Linked DNA regions of Canis lupus familiaris. The main gene of each other region encodes a partner of the protein of the gene in region 3 in a complex. Links are inferred from orthologs where the notes say so. Each region holds a gene or a part of one and is shown on either strand. Other genes may lie near its edges.

Region 1 (3,232 bases), on a different chromosome or scaffold from region 3:
GATTCTCTCTCCCCCTCTGCCCCTCTTCACCCTTCCCTCTCTCCCTCCCTCTCAAAGAAATAAATCTTAAAATAACAAAACAAAACAAAACAACTCCAAGAGTTGGTCAGAAGAATTTACTTTGCATTACCACATATCTCATCCCTCTGCAGTTACGCACTTCTTGTTTGATGTAATTATGGGCAGGGAACATGACCTGGATGACTCTGCCTTCTTCCTTTTCCCTGTTTCCTTTTCAATCTCAAACATATTTTTTAAATAGAGCTCCCATGGGCATTCTTTACCTTGGTACAAAGTTCTACGCGTCAATAAAGCAACTCTGTCTGCTACTCAAGTCCCCCGTCTGCTCTTTGTTTTCTTTTCCTGGCTGCCTGGTCTGTCCGTCTCTAGAAGGACTATTAAAATCTCCCCAAGGACCATAGTTTGCCACAGTTTCCTTATGCTCTATTAATGCCTTGCATATTCTGATGCCATGCTGTTTGGTGGTTATTTGCTAACGGAGGAGGGGACTGGGCACCAGGAGGAGCTGGAATTGGGCCAGAGTAGGGAAGGGTGCCACCTGGGGCTTGGGGGGGGGGGGGTCTCAGAGCCAGTGCAGGGCTGCAGACTCACCACTGTGCAGTGAAGTCCACGAACTCAGGAGAGAAACGGTCGGCCGGGAGCTGGGGAGATGGCTCTTCCACCACCTGCTTCAGCTGCTGGAACGGAGTCCCCCAGGATTCATACGGAAACCGTAGAATGGCCATCTCAATCTGCAGTGGGGGCGGTAACTCTGGTCAGATGCGCACACACTCTGCCCCCAGGAGCAGGGCATTTGGGGAACCTGTCTGGCCTGGCTTGCCACCCAAAGCTGGGCCACAAGGCAGGTTGAGGGGCAGACACATGACATCAAAACGAAGATGAAAGCCGGGGGAACAGCAAGCGTTGCTTCCTCTGACCCAGCCTGCACACACTGGCTCAGGAAGCAAATCCAGCCCGGAGTTGTGACTGGTTTGAGCATCATCAGGCTTTCAAACAACCTAAATTCAGAAGGCTTTACATAAAAACCCAAGTGCCAGCTAATCTGGAAAAATCAGAGGCGCTGACAGTCCCCCAGGGCAGCAGTCGGCAAAGGCGGCAAAGGCGTGTGGGACAGGCAGCAGCTTCCCCGCTCACCACACGCCACCCCTCCCTAACGTCTCCACAGGGTCTTAAGTATCTGCTGCCGTTTATTTGGGTAGTTGTCATTATGCCAGAGCAGGCAAAGGGGAAATGAAATTATCCCCGTCAGCCTGCCTCTCCCCGAAGCTGGAGATGCTGAGACCTGCGTTTGGTCAGCTCCTTTACTTTGGCAATGGCCCCCTGGGGCCCCATCAGACACTGAGGTTTGCAGGTGCTCCTTCTACTCCCCCCAACCCTCATCAGTGGCCAGCAGGACCCATCTCCAAGGCCCCCTCCTCCGGGAAGACTTCCCCCTCCCTGCGGACCCCCTGGACTCCCTGCAGGGGACACTGAGGCCGCCTGTCCTCTGCACCCGTGCCAGACCCCTAGCCACATGCCTTGCCTACAGTTGGTGGGAAGTCATTTGTGGAAAATACCAGCTATCTAACAACAAACTCTGGGTTGATTCTGACTGCTGAGTTTAAAAAAAAAAAAAAAAAACCAGGTCAGCTCAGGCCCCCCGCCTGAAACAGCAGAGAGACTTCTCACTGACAGGCCATAATCACCATAATGAACACAAGAGACCTCAGCTCAAACAAATGCTTCGTGTTGGCAACTGGCGCCTGAACAGCTTACTAATTATTGTGCTAAGAAAGGGCCTTCCCATTAGGCTAAAGGCCCCTTTCTAGCCAAGATATAAACACACCCCACAGATGGAGGGTGTGCAAAATGCGGCAGGCACGCTTGTGATCTGGTGTGGGGTTTCACAGGACAAATTCAGGATGCTGTTTCCTAGAATTGTCACCGATTCCAAGTAGCACAAGTTAGGATCCTGTGTGGGTTTCCAGGAAAGGACCTAGGGTCCTACCAGACTTACAATTAGGAAAACAGAAAATTGTCCAGACTCTTGACCCCGTAATCCATTTTCCTGGTAATTTTTTCTAATGAGCTCAAAAGATGAAAAACAAAACAAAACAGGCTCTGGGCAGAAAAATGCATGGTATGGTGTGATCCGTAACAGTGAGTATTAGGAAGCAGTCTAAACACCCAGCACCAGGGACTGGCCTGCCACGGGGCGGCTGAGTCTCAGCCATGACCATGAGGGCCATGCTCGGAGACCCCACTCAGGAATTCATGCGATCAGCACTTGACCAAATACTTGTTATGGTCAAGAGCCTTCCCGAATATCATCCCATGTCTTTATGTTGGTGGCTGTGGTCAAGTGCCCACAGAGGGCTACCCGGCGGGGGTTCTGAAAGAGAACCACCGAGAGGGGCAGGCCTGGCACCCAGTGCCTCAGAGGTTACTCCTCCAGGTCAACCAGGGATTTCAGATGGAAGGGAAAAAAAAACAGAAACAAATAAAACGTCCCACATTAGGGACTGGCTGTGTAGCTGGTGGCAGATGGTTGTGGCGTCCCTTGAAGAGATGCCTACAGGGGTTTCTAACAATCCAGAGAAACATGAGTGATGTGATGCTAAGTGAGAAAAGCAAAATAAAAACCATAGATGTTTTTTAGAAAGAGGCAAAATGTCTAGAAGGAAATGCACGGTGTTGGCACTCGATGGTAGGGAGAAGGGGCTATGTGTCTTTGAATGGAACCATGATGATTTTTTTTCTTCTTTTTACTTTCTCTCTGTGTTTTTAGAGAATGTTTCTATTACTTTTGTAACTTTTGGGGGAAATACCTAACCTCCACCATAGCAGCCAGTCTCCTACGCCGCCAACACAGCTTCTCCTATGTGTGCATGCTAGTACCCATCCAGACACAGCCTCTATCTCCCCTTGACCCTGGCATGGCCTATGACACTTTGACCAACATAATTAGAAGTGACACTGTGCCAGTCCTGGGACAAGCAGTTCAGAGCACTTCTCTCATGGAAGCCAGGCACCCCAAGACTTCAGTAACCCTCGGCACCACGCTCTGAGGAAGCTAGCGGGCAGCCAGCCCGGAGGAAGTCACGTGGAGGCCCCACATCTCTAAAGCCTTCTCAGACCTTCCAGCCCAGCCCTGACCCCAGCCAGAGCCAGGTGGCATAGAAGAACTGCCTGGCTAGTCCAGCCCGGAATGCAGAAATGTGAGAAACAATGA
Region 2 (3,235 bases), on a different chromosome or scaffold from region 3:
AATGGGCAAGCCAAGGAAGTGGGGCTCAATCTCAGGATTTCTGCTGGAATTATTAAGGAAGAAGGGCTAAAACTACTGGATGAGTCTTACACGGCTGGGGCAGGAGGCTATCTCTGTCCCCTTGAGAAGACTGCAAGCAAAGCCTACAAAGAGGAAAGTCGACTGAGAGATGTCATGTGAGCACCTGGATACAGACATGCCTGAAGGTAGTCCACTCCTGGACTTTTCTGATCCAGAGCAATAAATTCCTCTTTTGCTTAAGCCTATCTGAGTTGGGTTCCTGATCAACAAAAGGAGGTCAGAAAGCTTAGGGACAATCTCAGTGCCTCTACTGGGCCTTCTTGCAGGGGCCCAGGTAGTGCAGAATGCTCTAGATGCATCCTCTCACTTAATCCACCTGACCACCCTGCAAGAAAGGCATTATTACTCCCCTTTTATAGACAGGGAGGCTGTGGATCAGGAAGGCAAAGTGACTTCCCCAGACTCTCCAAGCACATTTGTGGCAGAGGTGATGTTTGAACCCAGGGCCCTGACTCAAAGCAGAGGTGGGCCATGGTGCCATTAAGGGTACAGGCTTCAGAGCCTGAGTCCCTAGGCTTGAATCCCCAACCTGCTGCTTACTGGCTTTGTGACTTTGGGCAACTCGCTCAACCTCTCTGTGCCATCAGCAGAATGGGAACCATAATGGTATTTACTTCATCAGTCTGTCGTGGAGGATGAATGAGTTCCTGAACATAAGGTGCATAGTGGGTGCTTTCTAAGAGTTAGTATCTTAAGTACTAGCTTAATTAGTGCCAGTGACTGTTATGAATCACTGTCACAGCAGCTCCAGAGAGGGCACTGCTCTGTCTCCCATCTCCCTGAAGAAAAGACTGAGGTTCTCAGAGGGCCTGGGCTGGGTCCCCACCTCTCCACCTCATCTCGGGCCACAATGTCGCCTTTCTTCAAAGCCTTGATGGCGAACAGCTCTCCGCTGGGCCGGAATTCAGAGAGCAGCACCTGGAACCACAAAGGGCAGCGATGACCTTAATGGTCAGCCCGGGAACTCCCTGTTCCCCTAACTCCTTGCCCCCTGCCTCACCTTTCCAAAGTGACCCCGGCCCAGCACCGCCAGGAATTTGAAATCCTCGAGGGTCAGGGGCGACTTCTTCAGAGGGCTGTGGAGAGAGGACACTGGTGGGGACAAGGACAGCAGGCAGGGGTGGTGGGTGGTGAGCAGGGGAGGGGTGTCACCTGCTCAGGGCGGGGCCTGGGGTCTCCTGGGTCTCTGAAGGCGGCTCCGGGGTGGTGGTAGTTTCCTGGATCGGGGAACTCTGTGGCAGAGAGAGGGAAGTCAGAGGCACCCATAACCACAATAGCCACCGAGGCTCCCGTCACCTCTCTGACCTCACTTCTCCTTCCACTTGCCCTCTTGCTCACTGCCCTCCAGGCACGCTATCCCTCCCCCCACGCCCTGAACACACCAAGCACGTTTCCAGCCCAGGGCCTTTGCATAGGCTATTCCCTCTACCTGGAATCCCCCCACCCCGACATCTGCACGGCTCCTCCCTTACCTCCTTCAGGCCATTCATGCAGATGTCGCCTTCACAGGTGGTCAGCTGACCATCATATTAAGTAACTAACGGACCCCCCACTCCCTGCCATACCCACACATACTCCCTGTCCCCTTTCACTGCTTTTTTTTTCATGCTATATTTTACCATTTACCTACATATTTCCTTTATGGGTATTTGCCCTAAAAGCTACTTAATTCTTTATACCACATGGGCATGTAACTTTGAAAAGAGTCAAAATTCATATTGTAAATGGAAGAGGGTGGGGGGGACTGGGTGGCTCAGTCAGTTAAGTGTCCAACTCTTGGTTTCGGCTCAGGTTGTGATCTCAGGGATGTGAGATCGCCCTGTATCCAGCTCCGCGCCCAGAAGGGAGTCTCCTCTCTCTCCCTCCCCCTTCCTCTGCACCCCCCCCCCAGTAAATAAATAAAATTTTAGAAAAAAATACATGGTGAATGGGAACATATTACGACTGGTTCATCATCATCTACTACAGACACAGTTCTAGAAATGCAATCAGTACAAGTAGGTGGCTGGTGGGAAAGACAGGCCTCTCGTGCCCCAGCCACCCTCCCCAGAACCAGCCACCATCAATGATTTCCTGAGTACCTTTCTAAACATATTCTATACCCACACAAGTAAAAGTGATGGGAGAGGCTCCATTTCACTTGTTTCCGCTATTGACAATATTCTAATCTTGCCTCCCCTACTGGACAACCTGTTATGGAAACCACTCTGTCCCAGCACTGGGAGACCAGCTTCATTTGTCACAGCCCACCTCGTCATTTACTTAGCACTGGCTCTCCTATGGATGGACGTTGCCGTTTCCACTTTTGCCCACACAAAGCCGCTGCAGTGAACTTTCTGGATGCGCACATGTGTGAGCGTCCAGGATTGGAACTCCTGGGTCAAGACGATGTCCATTTTTAGGGCAACCAGCTATGCCCTCCTAAGGAGATGCAACAATCTACATGCCTGTCTCCCTGTGCCCTGCCTGGCATTTGATGGTATTAAACTTTTGGATTTTGTTTTGCCAAACTCACCTGATGACCTATCTCATTATATTATTGTAAATAAAATACAGAAGCATATACTATCATTTTTTTAAAGATTTTTATTTATTTATTCATGAGAGACACAGAGAGAGGCAGAGATATAGACACAGGGAGAAACAGGCTCCCCTCAGGGAGCCCAATGTGGGACTCGATCCCCAGACTTGGGATCATGCCTTGAGCTGAAGGCAGATGCCCAGCTGCTGAGACACCCAGGCTTCCCCCCTGCTTCTTTTTTCCTATTTTTTCAAATGAGGTATAAAATGCATAAAATGTGAGCTGGGCCAAGGGGCCTGCTCTTATAAACATGTCCATCTGGGTATGCATTGCACGCAGCGGGGGTGGGTAAATGAGGTTTGGTACAGTACGTGAGCCGAGAATAGCTTTTACATTTTTAAGGGATTGGGGGGAAAAATCAAAAGGAGAGTAATATTTTGTGATCTGAGAAAGTGATAGGACATTCCAAGTTCAGTGGAGATCCCTGGGTGGCTCAGTGGTTTGGCACCTGCCTTCACTTCAGCCCAGGGCGTGATCCTGGAATCCCGGGATTCAATCCCACATCACGCTCCCTGCATGGAGCCTGCTTCTCCCTCTGCCTCTCCCTCTCTCACTGCATCTCTCATGAATAAA
Region 3 (3,652 bases):
GAAAGATACTTCTAAACCACAAGACACCTCCTTTTTACCAGCATATCTCAGAGGCTCTTAAGGGAGCTTATCCCTCAAACTGCTACATCTGTATTCTGCTTTGCTTACCTGTTGCTGGCTCAGATCCTTCAGTGGGCAGAACCATCTTCTCTGGCTCCTCCGTTTCAGCCAAATATCCTGCACAGTTACCAGGGGCTTCTTCACAGATACTGCCCATGTGTACAGTCTGCACAGGCAGGAAAGTGCTCACTTGCCCTGTAGAAGCACCCTCTGGCTGCTCAGTCACTGGATCGGACTCTGAAGGACGGGAGAGTGACATGTGACCGATCTCCCGCCCAGTGATCAGTGCTCCTGAGAACCTGACTTGATCTAGAACAGCCTCCACTATGCGACACGCAGTCTCTTCGATGGAGTCGGCTCCCTTGGGCAGAGGCACAGCACAAGGTAAAAGGGGAGTGCCCCTTGCCCTGCCCAGGGCCTGGTCACCACTACTTGAGAGTCCAGTCTCTGTGGGAAGCTCTTTGGCAAGAGGCTGCTCCAAGATGTGATGTGCTTCAGGATCCACCTGTGCCTTCCCGGAGTTGGCTAAGCCACAGTTGTTGTCTCGTTCCTTCCCCCTAAGGGGTACCATCTCTGGAGCTGCGGCACCCTGTAGGTCAGTCACACCTTCATCTGCTAAAGCTCCTGGCAAACCCAGGATCATATTCTTCTCCTGGCTCAAGACTTCTGGAATTGGGAGATCTTGGGCATTATGTAATATAGCCTTTCTTCTGGCCCCCGCATTACCTTGTAAAGCATTAACCACGGCAACATCTAACTGCACATTTCCACTCACCTCATGAGCAGTGTTTTTACCTTGGGATTCAGGGTTTTGCACTCCAACATCCAGAGCAAAAGATCCATTGCGAGAAAGAGCCTCAGACCCATCTGGCAACAGATCTGGCAACAGAGCAGAGCTGCTCTGCTCTGCACCCAAAGCTTCCTGGCTTGGGTCTGCAGCCAGACTTGCTCCCAGTGGCACCAGGCTCTGTGCAGCCCCACCTTCAGTCAGCAGCGAGACTGGTGGGGCCACTTCCTTGTTATGCTCCGTTTCTGCATTCAGGCAGGCTGAGGGTGTGCCCAATGAATTACCGCGCTCAAGTGCTCTCTCCTCAGCACAGGCAGCTGAGCCAGGCTCTCCACAGAATCCCAGTGCCTCCTGTCCAGGAGGTGGTGTTCTCTGCTCTTCCTGAAATGTTCCTGAGGAATGAGTGTCTTCCTTGAGAAAGGAACAAGCTGCTGCTTTATCCCTGCCATCTTGTCCCTGAGCTTCGGAGCTTTCTGGAACCACCAGATTTTTTCCTTCTTCAGTCAAAATGGAATCTGAGGCCATAATGGCCTTACCTGCACATAACAGAGAAGAGTCAGCAGCCCCCTTGATGTCCAGAACTTCAGGGGCTGCTGAGAGGCAGACACTCCCATGTTCCCCACCAAGTCCCATGGGACTTGTATTCCCCATGCTGGGCTGAAGCTGGACAGCAAGGGAGGGTGTGGATAGGCCTGTGGCACCGTCTTCTAATGGCTGTTTATCAGGATCATTTGAATCTCTGCCTGGGCCATCTCTACCATCTGCAGCTGTATGTAGTTCAGGAGTTGCTATTCCTTTTTCTTTCTGGGAGGGGAAAAGAAAAAGCGCGTCATCTTTGGTTACTGATTCACTGCCTGGACTGCTTGCCAGAGAAAAAGTCTTGTCTGATGTCACTGCTTGGTCTGGTACCAGTTCTTTCTTGGCTTTGGGGACAACTGCCTGTGGATGCACCTCAAGCATATTTGTTGAAGATGTTCCTAATTTCAAATCTTCTCCCTGGCCTTTTTTATCTGAAACTTCAACAGGACAAAACTCTACCTGTTCCTGGGTATCTCTCATAGGGCCAGGGGTGGCTGCATTAGCCTGTGGACCTTCACAGCAGAGGGTAAGGGGGGGATGCTGTGTGGGGGGTAGTCCTGGAGTGGTGCTTTCAGGCTGGGTAACTATGCCATCACAGTATTCTGCAGCCAGCATACCACTAGAAGTCACTGAGCTCTGCCCACATGCAAAGGCAGCACATGGTGTGCCCCCTCTAGTTGTAGAACAGATGGGTGATCTGCTGGTTTGGCTTTGAATGTGAGATGACTCAGGTTCTGATTTCTGGTTTGGCGCGTCTTTTTGTGGCCCGGGAAACGTTAGATCAGAGGATGATGCTGCCTCACTTGTGCCTGTCAAGGGAGCATAAAGTTCGAGTCCATCTGAAGTCGTGTCTTCTGCAGCAGCTGGAATTACCAGGGAGCTCTGATCCATGGGAGCCCCAGCACTCCCTTCACAACTTCTTGACGCTTCTGTTTCTGCAGTTTTGACAGGGGAGGCTTCTCCATTACTAAATGCAAGCAAAGACTCAGCAGGTTTGTCACCATCCGGGGAACTGGTGGCAGAGACACAGTTTGGAACACTGGCTTTATCTGCAGTCTGACTTGTGACTTTCACATCAGAGGATCCATCTGTGATGATATTAGAGTTTTCCAGCTTTTCCTTTGTACTTTCCCTGACTTCAAGCACATTCTTCTGGATGGCAGCATGTGCATTCACAGGACCACTTTCCATCTCCCCTGGAGTCACTGGGATGCCGGCTGCCAGTTCACATCCAGAGAAATGCTGAGTGGGAGCGGTGGCCGGCTGCATGCCCACATCTCCCTGCAGGACGCTGTCTCCAGTGTCCAGAGACACCTGGTCTGTGGCCAATGCAGAGGATTTTGTTCCAGTTTCTCCATTTCTGATTCCACAGGGTGGAAGGGTTCCCATGCCCTTTCCTCCACAAGCAGGCATGCTCGGACGGTGGCTGCTGGGATCAGACATGGTTCCACAGTCCACAGTAAGCGATGGCTCCGCCTCTTCCCCTTCTTTCTCCACGCCTTTAGTTTCCTTCTTACAGGAACAGTCTGTGTTCTCTTCCTTAGCCACACATGAAAAATCAGAGGAACCTTCAATCTCCCCAACAGTGCTCCCCTGGGCGCATGGAGAGCTCTCAGGGTCCTCAGGAAGAGAAGAGTGCAGCTGGCTGTCCCTGGGATCTGATGTGCAGCAAAGAAACTGGCCATCTGAATCTTGGGCACTGGGCACACTTGAAGGATCCTGTGCTGTCACCATTAAGGGCATAGGATTGTCCATCTGCTTCAGGTTTGTTTTCTAGGAGGAAATGAAAGATATCTGTAAAAACTTCCCATGGGAAAAGATGTCATTGACACCGATAAACAAAACTTCTGCTGCAGAGAACTCACTGCCATTCCAGCCCTCTGAAGATCACATGATAAGCTGACCTAAAGAAAATAAGTACATTTTCTCTTGTTCCTGATATCATTTTCCTCTCTTGTAGCTACATATCCACTGGAATGATAAAATGGTCAAGGATATGCAAGACGGCTATTCCCTAAACTATGAACTTATTTTAGAAAAGTAGATGAAAATCAGGCCTCAAAAATCTTGTTTTACAAAAGCACAGCGCCCATCTTCAGCTAAGAAAGATATTTTTATAGGGTCTTGAGAGGAGTAGAAGTAATTCCATCCCACCTCACGTATACAAGTACCAGGAAATCCCAAGCAGTTTGGTCAATTCTCGCCAATATCAAGGTGTAGGCAGAT

What was found. Proteins that work in one complex are often made in the same cells at the same time.
Region 1: AKAP13 (region 3) and MAP2K3 share a complex: the UniProt entries of both Homo sapiens proteins name them as parts of the signaling complex. The link is inferred for Canis lupus familiaris from reciprocal best matches to the Homo sapiens genes AKAP13 and MAP2K3.
Region 2: AKAP13 (region 3) and PKN1 share a complex: the UniProt entries of both Homo sapiens proteins name them as parts of the signaling complex. The link is inferred for Canis lupus familiaris from reciprocal best matches to the Homo sapiens genes AKAP13 and PKN1.

The regions. Positions count from the first base shown.
Region 1 is NC_049226.1:42,970,377-42,973,608, reverse strand, and holds part of MAP2K3 (dual specificity mitogen-activated protein kinase kinase 3), read right to left. Parts: intron 753-3,232; coding exon 613-752; intron 1-612. UniProt on the Homo sapiens protein: Dual specificity kinase. Is activated by cytokines and environmental stress in vivo. Catalyzes the concomitant phosphorylation of a threonine and a tyrosine residue in the MAP kinase p38.
Region 2 is NC_049241.1:48,562,293-48,565,527, forward strand, and holds part of PKN1 (serine/threonine-protein kinase N1), read right to left. Parts: intron 1,314-3,235; coding exon 1,234-1,313; intron 1,158-1,233; coding exon 1,082-1,157; intron 1,000-1,081; coding exon 908-999; intron 265-907; exon of another isoform or gene 1-264. UniProt on the Homo sapiens protein: PKC-related serine/threonine-protein kinase involved in various processes such as regulation of the intermediate filaments of the actin cytoskeleton, cell migration, tumor cell invasion and transcription regulation.
Region 3 is NC_049224.1:49,656,375-49,660,026, reverse strand, and holds part of AKAP13 (A-kinase anchor protein 13), read right to left. Parts: intron 3,200-3,652; coding exon 109-3,199; intron 1-108. UniProt on the Homo sapiens protein: Scaffold protein that plays an important role in assembling signaling complexes downstream of several types of G protein-coupled receptors.